Rattus norvegicus: one gene and its partners. The protein of the gene in region 5 purifies or fractionates together with the protein of the main gene of each other region. This does not show direct contact. Links are inferred from orthologs where the notes say so. Each region holds a gene or a part of one and is shown on either strand. Other genes may lie near its edges. The genes, in order: Mrps26, Snrpb2, Larp7, Syncrip, Snrnp70, Gemin5 and U2af2.

The links.
Region 1: the proteins of Snrnp70 (region 5) and Mrps26 purify together in Homo sapiens (affinity purification with mass spectrometry; 3 studies listed by BioGRID and IntAct, counting the BioPlex papers as one, with this or other methods). This does not show direct contact. The link is inferred for Rattus norvegicus from reciprocal best matches to the Homo sapiens genes SNRNP70 and MRPS26.
Region 2: the proteins of Snrnp70 (region 5) and Snrpb2 purify together in Homo sapiens (affinity purification with mass spectrometry; 5 studies listed by BioGRID and IntAct, counting the BioPlex papers as one, with this or other methods). This does not show direct contact. The link is inferred for Rattus norvegicus from reciprocal best matches to the Homo sapiens genes SNRNP70 and SNRPB2.
Region 3: the proteins of Snrnp70 (region 5) and Larp7 purify together in Homo sapiens (affinity purification with mass spectrometry; 3 studies listed by BioGRID and IntAct, counting the BioPlex papers as one, with this or other methods). This does not show direct contact. The link is inferred for Rattus norvegicus from reciprocal best matches to the Homo sapiens genes SNRNP70 and LARP7.
Region 4: the proteins of Snrnp70 (region 5) and Syncrip purify together in Homo sapiens (affinity purification with mass spectrometry; 3 studies listed by BioGRID and IntAct, counting the BioPlex papers as one, with this or other methods). This does not show direct contact. The link is inferred for Rattus norvegicus from reciprocal best matches to the Homo sapiens genes SNRNP70 and SYNCRIP.
Region 6: the proteins of Snrnp70 (region 5) and Gemin5 purify together in Homo sapiens (affinity purification with mass spectrometry; 4 studies listed by BioGRID and IntAct, counting the BioPlex papers as one, with this or other methods). This does not show direct contact. The link is inferred for Rattus norvegicus from reciprocal best matches to the Homo sapiens genes SNRNP70 and GEMIN5.
Region 7: the proteins of Snrnp70 (region 5) and U2af2 purify together in Homo sapiens (affinity purification with mass spectrometry; 4 studies listed by BioGRID, with this or other methods). This does not show direct contact. The link is inferred for Rattus norvegicus from reciprocal best matches to the Homo sapiens genes SNRNP70 and U2AF2.

What each region holds. Positions count from the first base shown.
Region 1 is NC_086021.1:138,220,870-138,224,487, reverse strand, and holds Mrps26 (small ribosomal subunit protein mS26 precursor), read right to left. Parts: upstream 2,165-3,618; 5' UTR 2,118-2,164; coding exon 1,906-2,117; intron 1,816-1,905; coding exon 1,669-1,815; intron 1,589-1,668; coding exon 1,465-1,588; intron 939-1,464; coding exon 819-938; 3' UTR 501-818; downstream 1-500.
Region 2 is NC_086021.1:150,851,672-150,855,633, forward strand, and holds the start of Snrpb2 (U2 small nuclear ribonucleoprotein B''), read left to right. Parts: upstream 1-1,162; 5' UTR 1,163-1,190; exon of another isoform or gene 1,191-1,593; coding exon of another isoform or gene 1,594-1,622; exon of another isoform or gene 1,623-1,715; intron 1,716-2,873; coding exon of another isoform or gene 2,874-2,898; coding exon 2,899-2,962; intron 2,963-3,426; coding exon 3,427-3,599; intron 3,600-3,962. UniProt on the Homo sapiens protein: Involved in pre-mRNA splicing as component of the spliceosome. Associated with sn-RNP U2, where it contributes to the binding of stem loop IV of U2 snRNA.
Region 3 is NC_086020.1:218,684,509-218,688,780, forward strand, and holds the start of Larp7 (la-related protein 7), read right to left. Parts: upstream 2,801-4,272; 5' UTR 2,691-2,800; intron 2,339-2,690; exon of another isoform or gene 2,217-2,338; coding exon of another isoform or gene 2,200-2,216; intron 1-2,199. UniProt on the Homo sapiens protein: RNA-binding protein that specifically binds distinct small nuclear RNA (snRNAs) and regulates their processing and function.
Region 4 is NC_086026.1:98,312,587-98,316,857, forward strand, and holds the start of Syncrip (heterogeneous nuclear ribonucleoprotein Q), read right to left. Parts: upstream 2,801-4,271; 5' UTR 2,294-2,800; intron 998-2,293; 5' UTR 986-997; coding exon 838-985; intron 141-837; coding exon 22-140; intron 1-21. UniProt on the Homo sapiens protein: Heterogenous nuclear ribonucleoprotein (hnRNP) implicated in mRNA processing mechanisms. Component of the CRD-mediated complex that promotes MYC mRNA stability.
Region 5 is NC_086019.1:104,992,018-104,995,851, forward strand, and holds the end of Snrnp70 (U1 small nuclear ribonucleoprotein 70 kDa), read right to left. Parts: intron 1,499-3,834; coding exon 1,411-1,498; intron 1,333-1,410; coding exon 642-1,332; 3' UTR 501-641; downstream 1-500. UniProt on the Homo sapiens protein: Component of the spliceosomal U1 snRNP, which is essential for recognition of the pre-mRNA 5' splice-site and the subsequent assembly of the spliceosome. SNRNP70 binds to the loop I region of U1-snRNA.
Region 6 is NC_086028.1:42,826,357-42,829,856, forward strand, and holds part of Gemin5 (gem-associated protein 5), read right to left. Parts: intron 1,817-3,500; coding exon 1,734-1,816; intron 826-1,733; coding exon 689-825; intron 1-688. UniProt on the Homo sapiens protein: The SMN complex catalyzes the assembly of small nuclear ribonucleoproteins (snRNPs), the building blocks of the spliceosome, and thereby plays an important role in the splicing of cellular pre-mRNAs.
Region 7 is NC_086019.1:77,793,792-77,797,291, forward strand, and holds part of U2af2 (U2 small nuclear RNA auxiliary factor 2), read right to left. Parts: intron 1,324-3,500; coding exon 1,244-1,323; intron 1,170-1,243; coding exon 1,047-1,169; intron 775-1,046; coding exon 676-774; intron 447-675; coding exon 198-446; intron 1-197. UniProt on the Homo sapiens protein: Plays a role in pre-mRNA splicing and 3'-end processing. By recruiting PRPF19 and the PRP19C/Prp19 complex/NTC/Nineteen complex to the RNA polymerase II C-terminal domain (CTD), and thereby pre-mRNA, may couple transcription to splicing.

The DNA of each region.
Region 1 (3,618 bases), on a different chromosome or scaffold from region 5:
TCTCTGAGGCTAGCTGGCTGGGCAGTCTAAATACTGAGTGCCAGGTTCCAGTGAAAGGCCTCGTCTCAAAAACCAGAACAAACCAAATCAAACCAAACGTAAAGCAGACCAAGGTGAGAGAGTCTTGAAATGACACCCAAGGGTGCTGTCTGGCCACTGCTTACACACACTGAAGGACAGCAACTGACCGCAAGAAGCGGGTTTAGAGTGGAGTCTACTGTCTGCTGGGTAGTCCAATGACGCTGTGTCAGGGCAGGGTCCGGTTACAGAAATCACTGACGGGGAGCTTCCAGGAGAAACGGGGCACCCTTTTTGCTTTCTGGACCTTGGACACACCTGACCCTACCCAGCAAAGCCCAGGATTGAGCAAAGCAGATAACTAACTCCTGGCTCAGTTAGGTGAAACTGGCTTTTGGCTAATAACCTAAAGACCCAAATAACTGGGGACAAATAAACTTATTCTACAACAAGAAAAAAGCAAGCCACATAACAAAAGGCTTTGCGTTCCAATAGTTTATTTATAAAAGCAGGAAACATTGGGCTCACACTATTCCAAGAAACTCAGGAGACAGCTCTTGGCTTCTAGAGGGGACAGTCCAGTCTGATCTTCTGTGTGATAGGAACTTCCCAGAGTTTAATGCTGTCCGGAGTTTGTATGTGGTGTCAGAACAGGGTACTATACCTGGTGCCAAATCTAGAATGAATGGGGGCTGCTCTGGACAAGGCTGTGCCACCCTCCTGGGATGCACCAATTTCTACCCCAATATCCAGTCCCTAGGCAAGCACTGTCCTTATTTGGGCCTGAGAGGCCTCTGTTCTCAGTTCCTGACCACCTGCCCTTCTTTGGTGACCGCCCAGTTATAACTCTTCGGAGAGTCCAAGGCCTCTTCTATCCGTGCCTCCAGGTTCTCCCGAGTGATGAAGTTTTTGGCCTCCTCCTACGGGAAGAGAAAGGTTAGCTACGTGGGATCTCTCAGAGCTGGCTGCCTGCATAACTTACTGTCTCTAGCCCACCTTAAGAAGGGTGTCAAAAGAGCCCAGGGCCCCTTTGAGTGTCCCACCAATAGGCCAGCACAACTGTACTAGGTGACCTCAACCATTATATCCCTCTTCCTCGGACAATTACCCATCAGATCTCTCAGCCACAACCCAAGAACGAATCGAATCGTGACAACCTGATTGGGGGGGGGGGAGGTGCGGGGTGGTGGACTCTCTCAACCTTGTCACTCTCCCTTACACAATAAAAACAGCTCCATTCTCATTTATGGTTTCCCTGACTTCAAGTTTCACACGGCAATACTAGCCTGTAACCTTTCATTGACCATTGTCTGGGAGGCACTCTGTGCGTGCAGAGCAGAGAGAGAAGCCTCCTGAAGACTGGTCACTTGACACCCTGTGCTGCTCTCCCCAGAGCCTCCCTCACCGGAATCTCCAATACCCACATTCCTCACGACCTTGGCCCACCTGCAGTTTGAGAACTTCTTGTTCTTTCAGTTGCACCCAAGCCTGCTCCTCCTGGGCCCTCTGGGCCTGGACCTCAGCCTGCCGCAGCTCCTGGGCCTGTGCTTCGAGCTGCAACCTAGCTATCCTGCGAGGAAAAAGGAGCCGAGAATGAGCGGGGCCGTGGGTGAGCCTAGCCCAGCCCACCCAGCCCCGCGCCTCTCGCACCGTAGTTCCTGCAGTCTCCGGTTCTCCTCCCGGTTCCAGGCCATCAGCTCCTGGTGCTCTCTGATGGCCTCTTGCGCCTTGCGCTCAGCCAGAACCCCGGCTCGGGCCTCGTGCAATTTCCCTCGCACCTCCAATGTGAACTCTCGCCTGGGTGAGGACGGGCTTCAAGTGAGCACCCATCCTCCAGCCCCAGCACTTCCCAGGGGGCGCCGAAGGCCGCCTGCCCTTTACACACACCTGAGAGCGCGCACCGTCTCCCGGTACTGTCGGTAGCGCTCGGTCAACACGAACAATTCCGCAGGGTCCACTGCAGGAGGCATTTTCACGCGCCCGACCTTGGACTTGGCAGGCGGATCGTGGCGGGTCTTGCGGCCGCGCACGGGCAGAAGGAGCAGGGTTGGGGGCTGGCCCCCGGGCCGCGCGGCCAGGCGGTTCAAAGCCCGCAACATGACAGCTAGCGCCTGCGCCCTGTCCGGAAGTGGTCGAGGAGCATCACGGGAATCTCCTGTCCCCGCCCCCGTAGGCGGAGCTCTTGCTGTCTGGCCCATCGCGTCCCTGGAGTCTCGGGTAGAGTGGGAGGGTCGAGGGGCACCTTGGAGACCACAGTTCGCTGGGCTGTATTGCCCGCCAATGACAGCTACAACACCAGGCGCTCTTGCCTACTTGTTCACAAGCTTGGACACCGCCCCAAAGCGTGTGGTTCTCTGGCCCACCGGTGGCCTGTGTACCCTTCCAGGGCTGATGCAAGAAATTCTGAGCTTCTAGCTACTTAAGTTAGGCTTACACTTCCTCTTTGAGTAAGCGTTCTCCTGATGCACTTTAAACTTTAGGTTTGCAATCGAGCAACAAACCTTTTCCTTGCATTGCACTGCCCTGTTGTGGTCTTGGGCAGCTCTGCAATTGCCAGAGTTCTCAGTATCAGTGATCACTTGTTTTCTACTGGGTGGCCTGTGTGAGGTGACGCTTGTCCTCTTTCACCTGAGCCGGGGTCTTCCCACCTTGAGACCATTTATGAAGCTTTTAAAGTACTATCTCCTCTACAATTGAAGAGAAACAGGCGGCAGTGCAGGGCAGAGAGCATCTGTCCCAAAGGTAGATGGCTCTCCTCTGGGAGAGTTGTTGGTAATCAGAAGCTGACGGTGAGGGCTAGGGAACTGAAGTCTCATCCTACTCATTAGTGTTGTCAACACCAGATTCTGCAGAGAATCTGCACTTAGGAGGGTCTGAGGAGCCTGGGCTGACTGCAATACCTGATATTTTCTCAGAAGAGAACAGAGTCTGCTTACATCCTTCTCCCAACTTCCAGGCCCGTAGGAGGCCCAGCCAGCACCCTCTTCCTCTCATCTCACCCTACCCTGGAGTGACACAGGGTTGCTCTGAACATCAGGGAACGTGGCACTCCCATCCTTTCTTTGCAACAGGGTCTCACTATATAGCTCCGGATGGTCTGTCACTTACAATGTATATCAGACTCACAAGAGGTCCATCTGCCATTGCCTCCTAAATGCTGGGGTTAAAGGCACATACCACCACACCTGTCCTAAACCTTTCTTCTTCGGGGTCATCCTAGATAACCAGTATCTCATTTCAGATAACTTCAGTGTCTGCGCAAAGAGAATATTTCTATGGTGTGGGTCATTCCTAGAGGCTTCCTAACCTTGCTGGCTCTGACGTTCTCTCGGCTGGTCAGGTCTACTCATCCTTCTTTCAGAGGGTTTCATAAGTGTAAGAGATTTAGGCCTACGGTGGATGAAAGATGTGGAGTCATTTTGAGTAGCTAATGCTACAGAACTAGAAGGCAGGTTCTCTGCCCCCTTTCTCTGACCTGTTGGGGAAGTGGAAGTAACTGTCCATTTGTGACCCTCCCCACTAGGTGGCGAGATAGAATTGTCAAAGCTGGGAAAGGAGGCTTTTCTGGGCAGTTCATGGGTAGAAGGACAGACAGACAGA
Region 2 (3,962 bases), on a different chromosome or scaffold from region 5:
CCTTGCATGTTTATAAATTTTCTTTTTAAAAATAGCTATGACCTCTCGGCCAGATCAGTTTATGTCACACAGGCAGGTTATATCTTATTTCAGCGCTCTCCTTGTAATGAAGCACCAGCAATCAACTGCTCAGATCTTCTCGTTGCTTAGAAATTATTTTATATTTACTTGATGTTCTTTTGGTAAAAACACACTCAATATTCAATATTTACAAAAACCAGACTGGTTTCTTTATCTACACAATTAAAGGACACTTTTCTGTGGTTGTTTAACATTATTTCCTACCCACATTTACAGGATTTTCATTGGCTATCACATTTGATTTAGTATGGCCTAATTTTCACGAAACTTCATTCATTCATTCATTCATCCATTTATTGAGTGTAAGTCATTCTCCTAATTCAGTGAGCAAAGGGGATAAAAATGACTACTCTAAAAACACTATTTCCGTCCTGCAACTTCATGTGGCTTTCAAATATTAGAACACTCAAGCTGATAAAATCAACTGATTTGGTCCCTGACCCAATTTTTAGCCTAGAAAAATCCAGGCATTTTGTGAGGATAAGGTGGGAGAGAGGGCGGGAGTTAACCGTTTCTAAATGAGTTTAGGCATGTGATCCTTAGTTTGCTTTCTCCTGAAATCTGGTGAGAGTACCAGCAAAGACTCACGAATCTCTTTGCTCTAGGGTCGAAGACTGGGCTGCATCTAAGGTGCAATCTGTAGAGTGCTGGAGTGTTCTTTCAGACTCCCATTGATTGACTTCAGGGAGTGACAATGGCAATTCTACAGCTGGTATTAAGCCAAGTTGGGCAGAACCCATAGAAAGGCTTGACTAAGTTGCCGCTGGAGACACGCTCCTGTAAAATTTTTCACATCATAAAGTTGGGAAACTTCAAAGTTTCAGTAATGGAAACGATGCCCTACCCTTCCCTTCTCTGCCTTCACTCCTTGACCGCTGTATCCTAAGTTGATCCCACCCAGTTCTTCCCCTTTCCACTATAACCTCCAGGCTACGGGAATGCGCATGCGCAGAAAGATTCTGCCGCTGGCGACCCTGGCGAGGAGATCTCGATTGAATCGGTGCTCGGCTCTTCGACTTATCTGAGTTCGATTGAGGAGTGTGGCGGTCCTCTTCCGGCGCTGGGAGCCTCTTCCGGCTTTAGCTTCAAGCGGACCGCGCCGGCTTCAGGTGGGTTTGCCGGGGTCTTCCTTGCTGTGGCTGGTCTCGGCCTTTGGTGGGATCTGTCCCGTCCGGACTGAGCCAGCCAGAGCGAAGGTGTCGTTGGTTGCGCGGTTCCGGGCTCCGCGGACGCATGGAAGGAAGGGACGGCGACCCTAGGGCTGGCGGGTTAAGGCCCGGCGTCGTATCCTGTTCTCTGCGGGATGGTTGGATTTTTAATGTCCGAGGACCCTAGTGTTGGGCAGATCAGCAGGTGTTTAAAGAGGCTCGAGCTGACATAGAAATTAGCCCAAGGAGAGAAAATAGCACGTTGCTTGCTTGGAGGCGGGGCAGGGTGTACAGTTCTTTGTGCACTCTCAGTCTCCCTCCGACCGCCGGCAGCCTTTTGGGTTTCAGGTGCCCGCAGGAGCTAATGCCAGAGCCTTTGTTCTTGTCCCTCAGGTGAGACACCAGCCCTTCTCCAGGTTCCCATTTGGGAGGCAAACCTTTGATAAACGTTACTTATCCGTTACCTACATAGTGCAGGCCCTTCCTGTAAGTAACACTCTGATGTTCAGAACAGCTTGTTGTATGACATTGGACACTTGCGTCCTTTAACGTGTAATAGCCATCGATAATAAATAGTAACTTTAGGTGCTTACTGACGCAGACTGCTAGATGTCTGTCTCATAATCTTATGGGCTTCATTTTATAGGCGCAGTTAGTATCCATAATTTGTAACTGAGGACTTGAGACATTAAGGAACTTGCCCCACCTCGAAGCAGGTTGTAAAAGCATAGACAGAACTTGAATCTGTATATTATTGGTACAAGAATATGAGTTCTGAATTATCTTTCTAAACTGTCCATTGAGTTACCTATCTGTCTGTCTGTCTGTCTATCTACACACACATAAATAGATTTGAGGGCTGTCGAGATGGCTTGGCAGGCCTTCTTGATTTTTGCTACTTGACCTTGCCCACTTTGAGTTTGGCTCTTGTGACTCACATAGTGGACGAAGAGACAGAAGTGAAAGCCCCTGAAGAGACAGAAGTGAAAGCCCCTGAAAGGTTGTTCTCTGACCTCACCATACACGATGGCACTAGTAAACACATACATACACACACACACACACACACACACACACACACACACACACACACACTAAACGTTTCAATAAATACATTCGTGAGTGAATCCATGAACTGTGTTTTAATTTGTATTGTTTTATTACAATTTTTTTAAACTACGTGTGTGTTTACTGATCTTTTATAAAATGTTCAACTCATTTTACTGAAAAACTTTTCTGGTGAATATGATCAAAATACATCGTATGACATTCTCAAAGAATTAGTAAGTATACTTTAAAAAGTTACTTCATTCTGTAGATGAAAGGGCAATATCATTTAAGTGGGGCTTAAGAAAGAATAACCTGAATAATGTTTCTAACTCTGCCTATGTGCTGACAGATTCTACCAATTTGTAGAATCTTGGTATTGTTCTACCAGGCTTTGATCTTGGGAGCTATTTTCCATTTGTCTAAAAGAGATGGTTATGAAGTTAGGGAGGAATTACTGTCTACTTCAGCTGACGTTTTCTGATGTCAGTGGTGGAAAAATAATGGATCGGCTAATAGTTGTTGGTTTTGGCTATGCCATAACCTGCATGATTTAACCCTCCTTGCTAATAATAGGTTATTTATTATTTCTTTTAGGCTACTTGAAGAGTTTTACCCAAACATGGATATCAGACCAAATCACACGATTTATATCAACAACATGAATGACAAAATTAAAAAAGAAGGTATGTTCTTTTAAAAACCGCTTTTTCACAACTAACATGCGGTTATTCACTTGTGTCTTAGGAATGGTCTCAGTGTCTCCTTTAGTCATCTTGGTGTTCAACAATGGTTTATCCCATTTTTACACACTTTTAAGAATTTTTAATATAAGAATTTGCAGGGATTGTGTGTTTTGAATGTTTTAATTCACAAGTGGCTTCAAATAACTTTTCTTTTCTTTTCTTTTTTTTTTTTTTTTTTTTTTTTTTTTTGGAGCTGGGGACCGCCTTGAACCCAAGCGCTCTACCACTGAGCTAAATCCCCAACCGGCTTCAAATAACTTTTAATTGGGTAGCCAATGGGAGTAGTGTGTTTTTGCTAAGTCAGTATAAATAAATGAATGGTAAGGGTGCTCATTGTATTGTTATTTTATGAAGAACTTAATTCTTGTTTCCTTCACAAAATGTTTTCTTTCTTGTTTGTACAGAATTGAAGAGATCCCTGTATGCCCTGTTTTCTCAGTTTGGACATGTGGTAGATATTGTGGCTTTAAAGACCATGAAGATGAGAGGGCAGGCTTTTGTTATATTTAAGGAACTGGGCTCATCCACAAATGCTTTGAGACAGTTACAAGGATTTCCATTTTATGGTAAACCAATGGTGAGCTGATCCTATTATTTCTACTGTAGTCATTATTGACCGGTCAATAGATTTTTTTTTTTTTAAGTGAAGAGTTAATACTAAGTTATTGCTTTCTGTGTGTTTGATTTTGTTTGTTTGTTTGTTTGTTTAGAGATTTTAGGGATATTTTGTAGCTATTTTATTTGTTTTGAGAAAGGGTCTCTGGTACCCTAGGCTAGCCTTTAACTTGTTATATTGCCAGGGCTTAATCCTTTAGACTCTACTCCCCAAGTGCTGGGATGATAGGAGTGCACCACCACACAAGGTTTATATGAATATTGTTATAAATACACACTACTACAGCTGAATTAACTGTTAATTTATTCTAGTTAAAATGAGCAA
Region 3 (4,272 bases), on a different chromosome or scaffold from region 5:
CAAAAACTATTTATCATCACTAATGCTAACACTATGATCAACCAAGTTGACCACAAGCCATGTCTGTATGTATTTGGACCAAGTTTTCTCATTATTGTGTTCCAGAAAATGTAGACACAAATCTTATCTATATAATAGTTGCTGTGAAGATGAAATAAAAAAATGTAATTTAAGCACTTTAGAAAATGCAGCTGTGGAGAAGTCTGCAGAGATGCGGTTAAGAACACTTATTGCTCTTGCCCTGGACACACGTTCAGTTCCTAGCACTGACGTCAAAGCTCACAACCTCCTGTAACTCTGGGTCCAAGGGGGGGGGTCCAAAGCATTCTTCTGACTTCTGTGGGCATATGGTGCACAGACAGACATACACACATATATTACATAAGTTAAAAAAAAAAAAAAAAGACTCTCAGGCTGGAGAGACGGCTCAGCAGTTAAGAGCACTGATGCTCTTCCACAGGTCCTGAGTTTAATTCCCAGCAACTACAGGCTGGCTTACAAGCATCTGTAATGGGATCTCTGATGCCCTCTTCTGGTATCAGAAGACAGCTGCAATGTACTCATAAACAAAATAAATAAATCTTAAAAAAAGGGGGGGGGGGGGCTTGCTGTGGAAAGCATGATGCTGTGTTATTTTTTCACCAGTCACTAAATCCTATCAATCTGATCTTCAAAATGGTTCTTATCCACATTTAATGTTTTCTACAACTGCTATTACAACATAATGAGTTTATAATATGCACCAGAAGTCACCTATCCTTTCCAGAAGGATACAGGTGTTACCTGTCCATAACACTGATGTGGTTTGTGAAGGTTATTTCTTATTTTTGGTAATGAGCCTAGCTTTTAATGGCTAAGCCATCTTTCCAGCCCGTGAAGGTTATTCCTTAATTTGCAACATTAGTAATTCCTTATCTTTTTTTTTAGGGGGGGGGGTCTGGTGTATAATATACTGTTAAATGGGTGTGATGTCACACAACTTTAATACCAGCAGCACTCGGGAGGCAGAGGCAGGTGGATCTTTGAGTCTGAGGCTGGCCTGGTCTACAGAGTGAGTTACAGAGCTCAGGAGAGCCAGAGCTAGAGAAACCCTGCCTCCAAACAATCAAACAAACAAGCAAAATCCATCCACAAAACCCACGGTCTCGGAACAAGGAACTTACTGTGTAGCAATGCCAGCTATTCACATACATGGTTTAAATCTTGATTACTTGGTAGTTTCTTTCAACTTTTTTTTTTTTAAAAAAAAGATTTATTATTAAATATAAATGCACTGTAGCTGTCTTCAGACACACCAGAATAGGGGATCAGATCCCGTAACAGATGGTTGTGAGCCACCATGTGGTTGCTGGGAATTGAATTCAGGACGTCTGGAAGAGCAGTTGGGGCTCTTAACCACTGAGCCATCTGTCCAGCCCTTCTTTCAACTTTTTAAGGGAGCCTGAAAGGTTATATACTTTAGTGAAAGCTAGGTAGGTAAGCAAGCATTGATGTTTCTCTTACACTGTCTACCTTTTAGTAGAAGCTTCCCCACCTTGTCACCATCCACAGTATATTCTGACCCAGGAATTCTTAATCTGAAATCCCTGACACTTCTGGGAGTTTAAAGAAACCTTAGGAATCCATGAAATGTTATAAGACAGATTTTTAAAGAAAAGGCAAAAACCATGCTTTCACAAATATAAATGACTATGGCGAATGAACTTAAGTAGGACAAATCCGTTTAAAGGAGAAAGACCAGATCAATATACAATAGAAAGTTGAAATGAATGTTAATATATACTGGTCAGGGAATGACATACTTGGGCAAACATGGTTTTTCATCTTTATGTTTTCAACAAGTTAAAAGTTGTAACATTGCTCAAAGACAGTGAATGTCATAATCTGGATGTAAGCTATGCTACATGTAATAAAAAATTCAAAAAATTTTAAAATCATAGGTTTTGCTTGTAAAGTCACAAACAAAATCTTTCCATTAATACATGTAAAATTTCCAAAGGAACTCGACGATAACATTTTTCAGGATATGAAGAAAAAGAAGTGTACCCAAAAGATTGAGAGCCAAAGTTGTAGTCACAGCAAACCCCTTAGTGGCCTGCAACTTTGCTTCAAATGAATCTTTTAGTGTGAATGTTTTAGCAAGCCATTCGATTTCCCACCACCGCCCAGCTTCTAAAGACTAATAAAAGGTAGTCTTACTTCCTGAGGACTTCCATTTTCAATGAAATCTCCACTCATATTTTCCCTTAGTTTCTCATAAATGTACTCAGAACTTTAATTCATCATTTATCCTCAGGCATTTTCTGTAGAGGGCCGACAGGGTGAAAGACTAGCAAAAGACTTAATTCTAAAATGCAAGTTCTCACAGCTGATGTCCTTGGGCAGACAACCTGTCTACCACCCACAGATCCCCTGAGCAACCCTACTTCCGCAGACTCTTCCAGAAGCCGGGCGTGCCCCAAACACCCCAACACCAAGATCGGCCCGCCCCCTCCGTACTACAATCCGAATTGCAAGGGCCGCCAGGGAACTGCGCGTGCGCACAGAGTACGTAGCCGAACCAACGGAACAGTGGCGAGGGGGGCGGGGTGAACCCGACCACAGATGTAGGATGGACCTCAGGATACCAGACTGAGAGGAGCTTCCACCTCACCCGGTCTGAGAGGATCTACAGGCCACTTGTGACTTACTCCGTGCACGTCCTCAGATCCACGGTCAGCGATTGCGTTCTTCCACGCTTTCCGTCTCCCGACCCTAGCAGGCGGCGGAAATTTGCGTCATCCGACCAGCGACGCGCTTCTCTCAGCCCACTACAGAAGGCCGGGTCCGAGGCTCTGTGTCCGTCACTGACGTCACAGGCGACGCATCTCGGGGGCGGGACCTGGGGGGGTGTGGGAAGCGCGTTGACTGCGCTCGGATGCGGAATTCCATTGGTAGTTTGCGAACGGTGGCGGTGGGGCCTCAGCCGCAACGTCCCTGCTTGATGACGTCTCTCAAGTTCGCGGGAGAAATTCGAAAGTGGAGTTCATGTCATCGAGCAGGTGAAATGGATACTTTCTGGTGTTCTAGGCAATGAAGGGTTAATAGACTGGGCGACTTGGCGCGGTTGGGAGAGCACTGGACGCTGACTTCGCCTCCACAGAAACCGCCCACGAGACGCCGTTAGAATGCAGGGTGAGGCGGTCACTGTCGAGGCCCATCCCGGTTGTGGTTGTTTTTGGGGCTGATAAAGGACCAAGGGTCCATTATTATTTAGTGACACAAAACCTTGATTTGTCAAGTCCTGGCAAGTAAAGCTATGTTTCTTTTAGGTAGTTGTACTGTTATTTGTGGTTTGGAAATTTTACTGGTTTGGGCCGTGCTGTTCTGAGCTACTGTGTCAGCTTTTCTTTAAAAGCAAGGTTATGCCACGGCTTCCTGCTGTTTTCATGGAAAGCTCTCCTCAGCATAACAGAAGATCATATACATCCGATTACTGATGACTCCTGCCTCATCCTCATTCTCTAGTGCTTTCCCTTTTCTATGCTGCTTAAGGATCAGGCCTCTGCGCATACTGTTTCCGGGTTGGGAGCCACCCTTCACTGGTGAGTACTTGTGAGAACAGTGTGTTGGGCTCCAGAGCCAGACTTTCTAATGTAATAGATTAAGAATTGGACCTGAAATGTTACCAGTTAGTAATAGCTAGTTGTCACGTCATGTCCCTGGAACCACTTGTAGATATGTGTGCTCATGTGTGTGTTGCTTTGGCATCGATTTTCAGTTCACCATCGATGATTTCAAGATTTCAAAATTTGACCTTATATTTTTAACCAGTTATCAGGATAGTTAAAGTAGGTGCAGCACCACTGTCTAAGAGATTTCTCTTCCTGGGTGTGCTGGAGTATTGCTTGTAATAGTCCAGCTATTCCAGAGGCCAGAGCAGGACTGTGCAACTTGGCCAGATCCTATTTTAAACACACACAAAGACTGGACACGTGTAAGCACTATTACCTAATTTACGTAAGGCCTTGTCGTCAGCCCTTAGCACTGGGTAAACGAAAGAAAAATTCCTTGCAGAGGAATCGTATGTATATTTGGTCCTAGGATACTTTGCTGTACTGACTAAGGTATAGTTAGCCCTCTATATCTGTAATTTCTGTATCTGTGTTCAGATGGAAAATAGAAAAAAAAACCTGTTAGTACTGTGCATACAGATTTTTTTAAAAGATTTATTTATTATATATAAGTACATGGTAGCTGTCTTCAGACACACCAGAAGAGGGCATCAGATCC
Region 4 (4,271 bases), on a different chromosome or scaffold from region 5:
ACTGACATTAAATTAACATACCTGAACATGAGAGAGATCACTGTCTTTGAACTGTTGAAGCACTGCCAATGCGCCGTCTTCATTGAACTCTTTTAAAGCTTCGATAGCTCTCTCATCTAAATCACTATGTGCAACTAGCCCTGGAGAAGAAAAAGTTTAGTGAGTTATCATCTTTTAAATTTTCTAAACTATTTCTTCAGAGTCCTGTATTTACCCATACAGGTACACATATGACAATGGTTCTACCTACCCTCCTTATCCTCCCCTCCTCTACATAATGAAACACCTACTTTAGCCATAAGTCCTCTCAACCACAGAAGGAGTCAACCTATTTTACATCCTGTTTTGTGTTCGAGTAGTCCTGAACACTCAATATTTCTACAGTAAATATATAAGCCTACAAATCCTAAAGTCAACCAACAAAACACCAAGCCTAACAACTGAACCTCTCCTCAATGTCAAGTACCACTAGAAAAAAGGAGCCACCACACCGAGAAAGACAAGAGAACTAGCCTAGAGTTACCAAGTTATTAAACAAGAATCATGCTATAAAAATACCTCAAAAAGTCACGTGGGCTGCTCTCAACATTCAGCAGCTGTTGCTACTATCATATACTTATCCATCAGGCCAGACAGCCTTCCCCTAGGGAGGTCTATCCCCTCATTTCATCCCTCCCTCTACACTCTACCTCAAACCTAAATTAACCAACTATCAGAACAAGGCCAAGCTCCAGTTCCCACGTTTATTGGAAACCACAAAAAGTTGCTATTTTAGCTCAAAGTCAGAAATCCAATAGAAAAATTTCATAATGTAATTTTGCAAGTGTTAGTTCTTACCTGCAACGTAAATTTCATCTAGTTTTTCAGCAACTTTCTGTGGTAAACCAGCATCAAGCAATGTCTGAAAATTTTCTGAATGGATAACTGCTGAAGTAGTATCCATGGGCTCTTCAGTACCATTTCCATTAACATGTTCTGTAGCCATGTTTCCAGAGATCTGTTCAAACGCAATAAGCAAAATTAAACTAGGATCTTCAAACAGAATAGAGGACAATGACAGTCCCAATCTTTACTTTCTCTTCCACTTGACTACAACCAGTCAGCCTGAGCCTCCCTTGAAAGAAACCTTAAAGTCACTATCGCCTGACAAGCCAGACTGTGGAGCCCGGGGTACAGAAGGACCGATTCACTATTTTCTTCCTGAGCACCACCCCTCACTTCACCTGCTAACTAACACTCACTGAGAAAAACCTTATTACAAATGAAGCCCAATCAGCACAGCGACCGGCCCAGCCTGCCACACGCAGCACTTCCAAAACGGAGAATAAGGTGTGTGAAGCAAGCAACGCTGGGCTTGTCTCTCTCCAAGGTAAACCAGAAAGTGCGCTTTTCCCGCCTGCCGCTTATAGATCAGTAACAACAGCCAGCGAAGAACAAAGCGCTCACACAAGCCACCTTCCCACCACCCAATTCCTCCACCCTTCACCCCCACACCCCAAAGCCCGCCCCCGACTCCGCACCCGGAGCGGCAGCAACGCCACTGCAGCCGCCAGGAGCCCATTAGAAACACGTGCTCTGCGCCTTCAAATGTCCTACAACTTCCTTCAACGGAAACCCACCGAGTACCAGGCCAAGACCGTCATGACCGCCTCCCAACATCAACCCGCAATCGGGGTCCGAGCCCCCCGAACACTGCAGCCGCACATCTCGCCCCTCAAAAGCGAGGCCGCGGCGGCGCCAGGCCACGGGCTCTCCCCGCCCCCCAGCGCCGCCGTCTCCGCCGTGACACATGGCTCTCCGCCCCGGGCGCTCCCGTGCGCCCGCGACCCCCAGCCTCCCGCACCCCTCGGTGCAGTGGCTGCGGCGCCGAGGCCGACAGCCCGCGCCGGGAGGGCGTTCCGCCGCCAAGCACACGCCCGCGGGAGCCGAGCACCGCCCAAGCCCGCCGGCCGGTCGCGGGACAGCACCCGCGCCTCTCCGCCCACTCCCGCGCCGCCGGCCACGACAGCACCAAGTCCGCCGCCGCTCGCGATCCGCTCGGGCCACGGGGCTGCCGAGGCGCCTCCTCCCGGAGCGCCGCAGACAAAGCCCAGACCCGGCAGCACATGGAGAGGAGGAAGTGGCGGCGCGACCGCGGCCTACTCTCTCGCAGCCCCGGCCAACGTGCTCTTCTCCCCCTTGGAATCCATTTTCCAGAAAAGCCGGTTTCTCCCCGCGCCGCCCTCCCCCAAGCACCCTCCAAAATGTCACGGAGCTCCCCCCTCCCCAACACCCGTGTGCCGGCCGTCGTTACCTCCCCGCGGGGCTGGGGCCGAGGAATCCTGTCCGACCGGGTCGGGTGGCGGGGAACGCGTGCTCGCTGCTCCCTGTGTCCGGCGCGAGTGGAGCTGTTGTAAAATGGCGGCCGAAGCTCACGCCGCTGGCAGCAAACCCGATCCAGTTCCACTCGCCTCCGAGCGCGCTCCCAGTGCGCGCGCGCGCCCCCGCGTGACCCCCCTTCCCTCCCCTCCCTGGCGCGTCCGCTTCTCTCACTCACTCCCTCAGCCCCTGCCCTCCTACAGCTCCTCCTTCTCCCCTTGCCACCTCTGCCGGCCGTGGGCCGCCCTGTCCTCTCGGTCTTCGTCCTTCCTTCCCTGCACCTCCTCCCCCAGCTTTCCCACTCCCGTCCGCGGCCGCTCAAGCACGAGTGGCCGCCCTTCTCCTCGCTGGCTCTCTGGCTCACGCCCTCCCTCGCTAGCTCTCTCGGCCCGTCCCCAGTCCCTGCCGAGTCGCTCTTTCTCTCTCCCGCGCTGACGTGACGACGCAGCCGACGCCTCAGGACGCGCGCCCGTGGGCCCCGCCTCTCGCCCCGCCCCTAGGTGCTGGTAGGGGGGGGAGAGACCCCGCCCTTCCGCCGCGGCGACCGTGAGGGGCCGAGTGAATGGGAGACCCGCCCTCTGTGCGGACACTCCCTCGCGCTCCGCGGGCGGGGCTGCCGGCTGGCTGTGTGTCCCACTCCTTCTTTGTCAGGAGACAAGCATCTCCCCACCCCGTCCTCCCCGCCCCCACCTCCCCACGGCGAGTCGGGGCTCCGAGGGTGCCCGGCGCTGGCTGACCGCTCTGCCCAGGCTGCCACCGCCGCCCCGCGCCCTGGGCGCTCGAGAAGCTGCAGGCGCACGTGTCCCCCGGGGCGGGGCGAGGCGAGGCAGACAATGGGGCTGCGGGGGAGGGGAGCTGCACGGGGGATGGCGGAACTCGGGGCCACCGGGTGGCGGGGCTCGAGTTCGGGAGTCACCCCGGGGAGCCCCGGCTTCCGCCGCTGGACAATGGGGCATCCCGCGGCCCGGCGCGCGCCGTCCTCGGCTTCCACGAATACCCTGGGCAAAGGGAGGGGCGCCGCGGGTTCGCGAGGAAATCCCAGTTCCTCCCACCCGGGGATGACACCGAGGCCAGATTTGGAAGCTTAACCGGCCCGGTGGTGTTGGATTGTGCAATATTCCGTTTCTGTCCCTGGCCTTTTAAGCGGTTAAGTGCTCCTCCTGGCACACTTTGAACAACTTGAAGCAGCAGAAAGCTGCGTGATTAGGACAACTATGAGGAAAATGTGTTTCTTTTCAAGCATCTTGGCAATTAAATGTTCTGTGAAGTGACATTTCCTTTGTAACCATTTACTAGGGACAAGAAAGACAAGACAAAGGCGTTTGTGTCTCAGGCGATATGGATACTAATTTTATGCAGAGCAGCTGTAATGTAAAATAACATCCTGTTTGCAAAAAAGAATACATACATATACATACATATATATACATACATATATTGAGAAAGCTACTGTTTCTAAAAAATCTAACATAGATTTATGCTGTAATAACAAGCCAGTAGTCCAAGGAAAGTTAAATAAACAGTACAAAGTGCCTAAATACATAAAATAGGGCTTTTTTTTTTCTGTTGACAAGTGGACCAAATAGGAAATATTTCTGAAGTACTGTCTACCCAAAATCTGTTTAATACGGCTCTGGCTATCCACCACCTAAATCCCTTACTACGAAACATATCCCTGCTATGGTATTTGATTAATTCAGCAAAATATTGTAGTTTGTACCCCAAAAGTCTGGATAATGATATCAATGAAAAACAACCAAAATGGTAATAGACGGTAGATTAAACAAGGGGAAAACTTTGACACAGTTCTTATTTAATGATCCCTGAATACAAGAGCTCCTTTAAAAGTGCTGCTCCCTAGGCAATGTCAAGAATTTTCCAATTGAAACCTCTCCTCTTCATCTCTGACCTAA
Region 5 (3,834 bases):
TCCAAGCTTTCTGCAGTAAGATGCTCTTAGCAAAACCATAAGCCTACCTGAAAATGTGGGAAACACAGCAACGAGTGAAAGTCACTTTCAGGACCAGCTATCCGTGGTAGATGTTCCTCAGCTCTCTGGTGGTATCTATCCTTGGTTAAATGTAAAGACTGGGCCTTAAGCAGCAGATTGAAGTACTATCAGACAGCTCTCAATGGGACTGCCTTCAGCCTTTCTTCAGGGTTATGCCAGGCTAGCCACTGCTTCCTCAGGGCTCGCCACACTCAAAACTCTCCCAGCTGTCTTCCATCCCTCCAGAAATGTCAATGGCTGGCACCCTGCCTCTTTGCCTACTGTTCTCTCAGAAAGATGCAGCCAGGGCTTCCCTATCTCACTTGTAAAGCAGCTATGGTGGCCGGGAGAACAGCCTCTAATTCAGGTTATAACACACGCACTAGGAACAGTATACCAAGTGGAGCTGAACAGTATGAAGTGTAGTAAGACACCAAGTGCCCACTATCAACAGGAAATTAATTTTATTCTTAAATCCAAGGGATCAGAACAAAAAACCTCTGCCCTCAGAGGGCAAGCCAAGGTGGAAAGGCTAGGAAGGCAGACAGCAAGGCAGGAGCATGTCCACAACAGAGGCCTCTTCATTCAGGCGCTGCCTCCATCAGATATCCGTTCTCTGGGGCCATGTACCCATCCCCACCCTCGGCCTCCATGTACATGTCTCGACCATCACTACCTAGCCCTTCCAGCCCATTGTCCTGACCGCTGCCACCCCCACCCCGGGCCTCATCCCTGCCCCGCTCACTGCCCCGCTCCCCACGCTTGTGCTCTCTATCCCGGTCACGGTCTCGGTCCCGACGGCGTTCCCTCTCACTTCGGTGACTTCGACGCCTCTCCCGGTCTCGATCCCGACCCTTCTCCTCAGGGCCATCAGGGCCTTCAGGGCCAAGCTCTCCAGGAGGCCCATCATCAGGAGCTCCATCACCAGCTTCAGAGGGTTCAGCCATGTCGCCTCCACCGCCTCCGCCGCCGCCACCACCACCACCACCACCACCTCCTCCTCCGCCTCGAAGCTCCTCTTTTCGCTCCCGCTCCCTGCGTGCTCGCTCCCGGCTCCGACTACTTCGACGCTTTCGATCTCTGTCTTTGTCCTTGCTTCGCTCTCTGGATCGGCGCCGCTCATCCTTGTCTCGACTCCGAGAGCGCCTCCTCCGGTCCCGAGAGCGGGAGCGTCTCCTTTCTCTCTCCTTGTCTCGCTCTCGGCTTCTTTCTCTGCGCTCCCGCTCGCGGTCCCGGTCCCGGTCTCTGTGTGGAAGCGGGGAGGGGCCCGGCCTATATGAGGTTAGCACTGCATGGAAGGGTACCCCCTTGTGACTGCCCTGTCCCAAGAAACCAGGTGCCCAACCTTACCTCTCATCATATCGGGAAGTGTCATCTCGGCCTGAATGCCTGATATTCACATCTGCCCCACCTCTTCTGGTACCACCAAGGCCACCTCCTGTGGGCCAAGTAAAGGAACATGGCAGCGTTAGTGGACACAGTTTAAAAGGGAGTATCTTTTTTTGGTTCTTTTTTTCGGAGCTGGGGACCGAACCCAGGGCCTTGCGCTTCCTAGGCAAGTGCTCTACCACTGAGCTAAATCCCCAACCCCAAAAGGGAGTATCTTAAAGGGGCCTACACAGCTGACAAAAAACAAGCGCCTCTACTCACTGCCACAGGGTATATATAATCTCATGCCAATCATCTCCATGTCCGCTGGTTGTAGGACAGCCATGTTATCCAGCAAGGTTTTGCACAAAACGCTAGAGCTGGGGACACCTGAACAAGAACCTTCTTGCCTCCCAAGCTTGTCAACCTAGTCCACTACCAATTTGTACTTTGAGCACAAAGTCCAAAGTATGAACTTATAGAAAAGCTGAAAGTAACTAGGTTTGGTATTGCACCCCTTTAACCCATACTTCAGAGGCAGAGGGAGCCTGGCCGACAGTGAGCTTCAGGCCAGCCAAACAAAAACAAAAAACAACAAATACCAGAAAAGCTGGAAGACCTGTCATACCTAGGTTCCCAGGGAATCCTAAATTTCCAGCCTTCTCAGCTGCCTCTTGCTCGCATCAGTCAGCCATGTAACATTTACCTTGCTTTCCTTGTCTCTGTACCTTCTACTTCCCTGTCAGTCTCGAGATCCCTGCCCTGCTCATCACACTACACCATGCTGCACTGAACTGTTAGAGGCCATCAGCAACTCCACAACTGTTCAAGGAAAGCACTCCCACACCTCCCCAGATTCTGACAAGCCACAAAAAGACTTTAAACTTGCACAGATTTAACACCTGGTCTAGAAGGTGTTGGGTACACAACACTAGCACTAGGGAGCAGGTGGCAGTCTCATCTTCAGATGGGGTGGACTAATGAGCCACTGGGCCCCAGTAACTTGGCAAGGAAGGAGTGAGGTGGACCTGTGTTTCACATAGGAGCACAGGCAAAGAGAAGTCAGCCACATGCTAGGCTGTTAAAGTAGGTATAGATTACAGGTTAGACTACTGCAAAGCAGGACACAGACTTTAGCTGCTGGATCACAGCCTAACAATAGGTTAGGCCATTAATTATCAATAAAAAAAGTCTATAGCGAGAATTCTGTAATTTGGGTTACTTTAAAAAACACCGAGGCTTGGTTGGAGATGGCTCAGTGGTTAAGAGCACTGACTGCTTTTCCAGAGGTCCTGAGTTCAAATCCCAGCAACCACATGGTGGCTCACAACCATCTGTAATGGGATCTGATACCCTCTTCTGGTGTGTCTGAAGACAGCTACAATGCACTCACATATATAAAATAAAGAGATCTTTAAACACACACACACACACACACACACACACACACACACACACACACACACACACACACACAGAGAAATATTCTAAGAACATATTTTCATTTTTAATCCCAGATGCAAGGATGTAGGGCTGCTTTGAAGCAGCGGATTTGCTTCATGCTTTGTAAGAGGCATGGTTTTGCCAGCTGCAGATAAGCTTCTGTGATTGTATGACATTTGGAATTCTGGGAACTTTTCAGAGGGTATTTGAATTCTTGAGGTCAGGTTAGGGTAGGTTGTTGGATTGTTAGGCACAAAAAGAAAAGAGAAGAAGAAATGATATATCCTAATGGTGAAGATCAAACTTGCCCCAAGGAACTCAATGCCCCTAATCAGCAAGCAGGTAAGTGTCCTTTTCAACCCCTGATTTTATTCAGGGATCTCTTTTTACTCCTCTGTATCCCCCCCCCCCCAACTTATGTAGTTTTAGGGAGTTGAAAGGGTGGAAGGATAAGGGTTGAAAAAAGAGCAGGGGCTGGGGATTTAGCTCAGTGGTAGAGCGCTTGCTTAGGAAGTGCAAGGCCCTGGGTTCGGTCCCCAGCTCCGAGAAAAAAAAGAAAGAAAGAAAAAAGAACCCACAAAGTAGCCAAACATAGCTACAATGTCTACAGCATCTTTCAAAATAAAACACTTTCTGCACAGGAGGTAAACTCCTTCCCTCCACCACTCTTCATATCTGACTGTCACAAGTCCAAAAGCAACAGGGCTAGTCAAACCATAGCCTGAAACCTCAGAAACTGAGTTAAAACAAACAGCTTGTTCACTAAAGGCTAAGGCAGGAGAAATCACCATGAGCTTGAGGCTACCCTGGGCTTCACAGTTGAGACCATGTCTCAGAACCTCATACAAATAATAACAAATACCACTATGCACTACATGTGGGAAAATTCTGCACAAAGTTTCACATAGGCTAAAATGTCTCTCCATCTGAGTGAAGAAGGCTCATAGTTTATTATTTATATTA
Region 6 (3,500 bases), on a different chromosome or scaffold from region 5:
AGAGGGCAGGGGTGATGGTGAGGGGAGGGAGAGAACAAACCTAGTCAAGTCATTCAAATCCACTGACACAAAGTTAAAACAAATGTAATTCAATGTGTGGGCCTAGGCAGAAGACCCAAGAGTTCTCTGTATTGCTGGGCTTGTGTATTGCTCAGCACTTGGGAGGCTGAGGAGGAGGATCAGGAAACTGAAGCCAGCCTGGGCTTCGAAAGAAAAGAGCAGATGAGGCCTGAGCACAACCACACACTGTCACTGTCAGCAGAGCACTCTAGTTGAAAGGGGAAGCTTCAAAAGGACGCTTGTCTTTACTCCCAGCGCTTAGGAAGCAAAGGCAGGCTAATCTCTGAATTTGAGGCCAGCTACCTACATAGTGAGTCCCATGCCATCCATGACTACATACGGTGAACCCTGTCTCAAAAAGAAACATCTAAAAAGAAAACAAAAAGGCCACTTTACAGTGAAGATACATAAGATTTTTTTTATCATCATTGCAATTAAGCTGCTCCCCTCCACTTAATTCTTTGCTCTACTCAATGATAATGACTTGTAAGGGAGAGCAGGCAGCCCACAAATTCCCCAGTAGCTCAATCAACTGTCTGAGAAGTCTGGCTGAGCATGATGGGCATCATTACAGATGGCCTTGAAACACCAAAGGAGGTTGAGTGGGCTTCAGCCCACTGGAACTTACTCTAATGGAGTTGGTGTCTCTCATGAGTTTGTTGATGTCAAAGGCCTCTCCACTGAGCTTCCAGGGATTATGCTGCAGCACAATGCCTTCCCCTCCACAGCTGTACAAGGTGAGGGAAGGCCTGTCTCCTTCCCCTCCTATGAAAGAAAAACTCTTGAGTGAAGTGTCTCGCTTCACCACACCGCTTCCACAGCACGTCGTTAACACAGTGCAGCATTGTGAACACGAATACGGCTTAGTGTGGGAAGTGATCCAGCACGATGGGACAAAGCCACCCTCCTACCAATCTAGACAGGGTGGGCAGATGAAAAGGTATCATTAACTTCTGAGATACTGTGTTCACTGTACAGGCTTTCTGACATTCAGGAGCAGTGACACTAAAGATGTGACCAGAGGAAACGTCATGGTCTCAAATGACCAAGTCGTTTTTCTTCCAGAAATGATTCTTAATGTTTGTACAGACATAGAATGCAGAACTTCCCACAACTAGGGAGAGGTCTCAAGGCACAGCCCTTAGTTATGAGCTGTCCTATTTGCAAGGCAACTCTCTGCATAAGACTACAGCTAAGGAATCCAGCCACTTCAGCACAGTAAGCCAGAGTGTGGAAACTTCTGACTCATTTTAAAGATAAGAAAGTCATACTATGTTAGGGAAAGGAGCAGTGGCCAGGGTGGGAAAAGGAGAGGCAGGGCTACAGAAGAGAAAGATACAGGCCTCAGCAATGACAGAGGCCAGCACCTAGCCTCAGGTTACTCTGAACCGTGGAAGACCCAGCTCAAAGAGAAAAGCAATACTTCAGAGTTGAGGGAGGCACGAGTCAAGGCTTTCCTTTAGCCATCAAGACCACCTATGTCTGATACTCTCTCTCTCTCTCTCTCTCTCTCACACACACACACACACACACACACACACACACACACACACACACACACACACACACACACAGAGTGATTATACTAGAACATCTATGACCTCAGCTTTCAGGCTTTAGAATTAAAGTGGAAAAATATACTCATGTTTGTTAAGAATGACTCAAACACTTACCAAGTGACATGGGGGGCACTGGTGGCCCCCAAGCCAACCTATATACGGTCTTCTTATGATATGTGCTTGAAATCTGTGGAGGTCTGTGGATGGAGAAAAACAGGATGATCTGAAGAAAGAGGCCCACTAGAAAACAGACCATCTTCCTCTGAAAGGTCTTTCCTATACATGTGGTTGTTTATATTAGAGAAAAACAGTTTACCTTTGTCCAAAATAGTTAGTTCTAAAAAGCAAGCACTTAACTTACCATATAATAATGTCCACTCCTGGGGCTGGGGATTTAGCTCAGTGGTAGAGCGCTTACCTAGGAAGCGCAAGGCCCTGGGTTCGGTCCCCAGCTCCGAAAAAAAGAACCCCCCCCCCAAAAAAAATAATGTCCACTCCCAAAACAAGTCCCTAGTGCATTACCCACCCAGGGGGCCACCTAGAATGATTTTTCTGTCTAGCCCATAGCAAAGCAATGTCAAAGTACAGAGGCTGTGACAACCACAAGCACCCAACCTCAGGCTGAAGATGAGAGGCCACTTCACCTCCATGCTTTGCCATTTGCTCCCCTCACTCTTTCTGAGACAGGGTCTCGCTATGTAGATCTGGCTGTCCTGCAAGTCACAGAGGTCCACCTGCCTCTGTCTTCTGAATGCTGGGATTAGAGGTATACACCACCAAGCCAACTAGCCAGCATCACACTATTACACTGCATAAAATCTGAAGACAACTAAAGCCTTTTACTGTCTTTCAGGGGCTCTTGCTCTTAGGGGTGTCTAGGGAGATGGACTTGTTAGGAAAAGGCAGTGCTGTTATGACTTAGTGTCAATCTTAGTCTAGGCATGGATTCAGAACTCCAGAACTGTGGCTGACAGAGCTATGCTACTACTGAAGAATTGGATACACTTAGAACACTCTGAGAGATGGTACTAATCTTTCTGGCTCAAACAAACAAACAAACAAACAAACAAACAAACAAACAAACAAACCAACCAACCAAAACCCCCCAGCTTGACGACCTAACAGTGCTATCTTCCACCTTAACGCACACCTTAACTAGCAGTAGGATGACTAGTCAGCCTATGGGGTGATTTAGTCCTACTTAAATCAATACAATTTTGTTTCATTACATATCCCTTTGAAATAGCTTTTAAGCAAAAAGGGAGAAAGTTAAGGTTCTACACAAACACTTAAAGCACTGCATACAGACCTGGGGATTTTACTTGGATTATTAGCACCCATGGAACTTTCTGACGGTCTGAATGAGAGTGGTCCCATAGGCTATGAATTCTATGTGGAACTGTCTAGGAAGGTGTGGCCTTGATGAAGGTGTGTCACTGGGGGTGAGCTTTGCGGCTTCAAAAGCCAGCACCATTTCCAGTTAGCTCTCTCTGCCTCATGTTTGCGGGTCAAGATGTGAGCTCTCGGTTACTGTTTCAGTGCCGTGCCTGACTGCCTGCTACCATGCTGGTCATGAACTCACCCTCTGGAACTGAGAATCCCAAGTTAAACTCTCTCTTGTAAGTTAACGTGGTCATGTGTCTACATCAGTAGAAAACTATGATAGATCCCTAGCACAGCAAGGAAAAGTGACCGAGAGAGGTAAGGCAGAGGGAGGGAAGACATGCAAAGAGGGCAGTGCTGCAGTAGAATGGCTCTCGAGCCCTTTTCATAAGGGACAGCGAGCAGGTCAGGGTGCTGCAGTGGTGTGGAGGCAGCGGGCAGGTGCAGTCAGTGAGTACGATGAGCTCCTCCAGGTTTATTTACACACGGAGATCTGCA
Region 7 (3,500 bases), about 27 Mb from region 5:
TTGCAAAAGGATTACATAAGAAGAAAAAAAATAAGTTACATCAATACAGAAACCAATTTCTCCACTATAGGCCCCAGTCTCCCAAACGAGCTTGATCCTCTCTGGGTCCTCTGCATCACCCTTGGCCGGAACTAGACAGGTATTGAGAGGGACAGAGGGTGGTAAGGGGTGTGTACACAAAATAAAGGCACCCTGACCTTTCCGCAGCCAGGCACCTCGACGCCATCCACGGGCCGAGGAATTTCAATGGATTTGACCAGCCCATACTTGCTGCACTCGTCTCGTACATCCTCTACAATTTCCTCATATTCCTCATCGTCCAGCAGCTCCTCAGGGAGCACCATGTTCATGAGGCACAGGACCTCAGTTGGGTGACCGCCCATCTGCACCTGAGAGCTCATCAGGCCGGGCACTTGAAGGGTCACAGGTGTCTGATTGATGGTGCTCTGTGGGGTCAGGGAGAACAGATTTGTCACAAAATGGCTCAGACTAGCCTCCCTCCATTCAAGCCTGTGCCTCTTACACCCAACTAGTGGGACCATTCCTCTACTTAAAACACTTATGAACCCATTGTCCAAATCCCCTCCCATGAAAACTGGGGCAGAACTCAAGAAAACCTTCCCATCCAACCCTTCCCACCCCCAGGGTCCCTCTAGCCAATGGAAGATGACGTGCCGGGAGGCTCACCAGCGTGGCATTCTTGGCTCCCACACTCGCCCTCTGGACAAGCAGCTTCTTGTCCCCTAGCTGCATCCCATTCAGCCCCGCAATAGCCTATGGTCAGAGGATGAAGGGTGGAAGGGGTGCAGGGAAGGAACAAGTCAGGAACCAAGGGGCCCAGCACTTCCCCCAAAGAACCAGGCATTGTCAAGGAAAGAGTAGAAGGCAAAGGGCCTTTAAGTTTGAAAAGAGGCAAAACCAAAGGAAAAGAAATGAATCCCCACTAAACACCTCCCACCCTAGCCCAAGGAAAGGACCCCTAAGCTAAGAAATGAAGTAGGGTTAAGAAGGGCAGATGGAGCAAGCAGCTAAACACTTGGGCTCACCTGATCTGTAACGTTGATGTCCACGTACTCACAGAAGGCATAGCCCTTGGAGAGCCCTGTGGCACTATCCTTGACCAAGTTGAAGGCCTTTAGAGGCCCAAAGGATGTCAGCAGTTCTTTTACCTGCAAGGGGCCAAAAATTCATCAGGGTTTGGTCAGGCTGATAAAGGTAGCTAGCAAGAGAGCAGAGGATTTACCTGGTCATCATTCAGGTAGTTGGGCAAGCCCCCGATGAACAGCTTATGGGCAGAATCTGGGACTACAGTGGATACAACTCCTAAGACAAAAGGAAGAAAGATGGAACTGGTGACATACGCACGTGTCTTTTCAGCACTTGGGAGGCTAAGACAGAACAATCAGTCTCAAAAAAAAAAAAATCTACAACGAGCCCTTTCACAGGTCTTATCCTACTTAAGATATCATATAAATAAAGGTAGGAGGAAGCCACACCACCCCCATATTCTGACAAGTACATGAGCATTGACCAATCAACAACTGAATATGAAACATTCCCTAGGAACTGACAACCACCCAGGAACATCTCATCTCCTTCTGTTGTTCAGCCCTTTGCCTTCAAGGTCACAGGGTCCATAAGCCCTTGCAGGGGTGACCTGCATTCTGAGGTAATGTGACAAGGAGCTGAGAGGCTGCTTAGAGTCTCAAAACATGCCTCAGTGTTGGCTACCACTGTCATGATGACTAGTGGTCAACTCTGCGAAGCTGTGTTCAGGATCCATTAAAGCTCCAATATAACTACATAGTGGTATCACCTGAGGAAAACTCCCTTCTTCTCTATTCAACTCACATATAAGTGATGGCCAGATGCTTCTTAGCACACCACACAAGTTTCACCATCATTCAATTCTTAAGAGTCATTATCAGGCCCCTGCATCAGTCCAGCGTAACTTCTCTATTCCAAAGTCCCACTATAAGTAACCTCCCTCTTTCCAGCTCTCCCCCATGCCAAGTGCAGTGGTCCATCCTAATCTGCAAAAGCATCAAGATACTGAATGGACACACCCCAGAACCTGGGTCACTGTGACCCATCCGTCTTCCAGGGTGTGATGTGCCCCAAAGAACTGCAGGCATCAATTCAGCTATTTCTAACCATCAGAAGTGTACCCCAGTAGTCAAGTCACCTAGGCCACAACAGACCTAAGCTACAGTGCAACTGTGACAAGCAGAAGCATTAACAGCCAGGCCATAACCAGTACTGTCATAGGTCAGGCACAACTACTTTAAAAACCTATCTGGGCCTGGAGAGATGGCTTAGCAGTTAAAAGCACTTGCTGCTCTTCTAGGGGGCCCAGGTTCAGCTTACCAGCACCCACATGATAACTCACAACCACTCATAACTCCAGCTCCAGGGAATTTGACTCTCTCTTTTCTGACCTCCTTGGACACCAGGCATCCATACAGTATATACTTATATGCAGGCAACACACACTCATACACATAAAATTAAAGAGTTAATCTACCTCAGGTACAAAAGCCCTAACTTAAAGCAAAAAGTAAAGTTCTAAGTTCTGAGACAGGAAAAAGGTGACTTCTAAAGCAGCTCAGCAGGCTTGGCTCTGCAGCAGTCTCTGACAAGTAAGCAACAAGGCAGCAACCGGACCCCAGGCCCAATCTGGTAATCACTGTACCTTACCTTAGAGGGAGCACAAGGTAGAGCCCAACCCAGCTGCCCTGACTTCAACTCTTTGCTATCTACACCAGAGAAAACAAGGAGACCACACTACTAACAGGGCACACACAGAAGCATTCTGTGCCACTTAATCCCAGGAATACAAGGAGCTAACACTGGTGACTAAGAACTCACTTCTGGGGGAATGCAGCTCAGCTTCCACTACAGGTGATGTCAGTTTAAGTGATCAGTCCATTACTCTCTCACCAGGGACAAAGTCAGCCTTCCGATTTACAAATCTTTTAACTCTATCATCAACGTTCAGTAGATTTCATCAAGTGCTTTCCCTCTTTAGTTTATATAGTGACCTTTGTTCTCCTCCTCTGGAAGAGGAAGTTCAAAAAACAAGACCAGGACCTGAAGGCAGAATTCCAGTTGGTGCTACCACCTCCAAAGTAGTAAATTTGTGTGGAAGCACAGGCAGGCACATCCCAAAGAGACTCAGGACTGATCTTTCTATTGTTTAATCACAGCGGTGCAGAGACTCACTGTGCAAGAGGCTTGCCCCTTAGCAGCATGATCCAAAGCAACTGTGACATTATCTACATGGTTTCCAGCAGAAAGTAACATGAAAGAGTACAAAAGCTGAGCTATGACTCCCTCTGAAGCCAACCTGTGCAGCCCAGGAAACCTATGAATTACACGACCAAGAACAATTATTAATCATCACTGCTGGCTTTCCTCCTCTGTGAAATGACAATTCCACCTACTACAAAAGGATGTCAAACTGTGATGTGGCACATGCTTGTGATCTCAATACTGGGGGC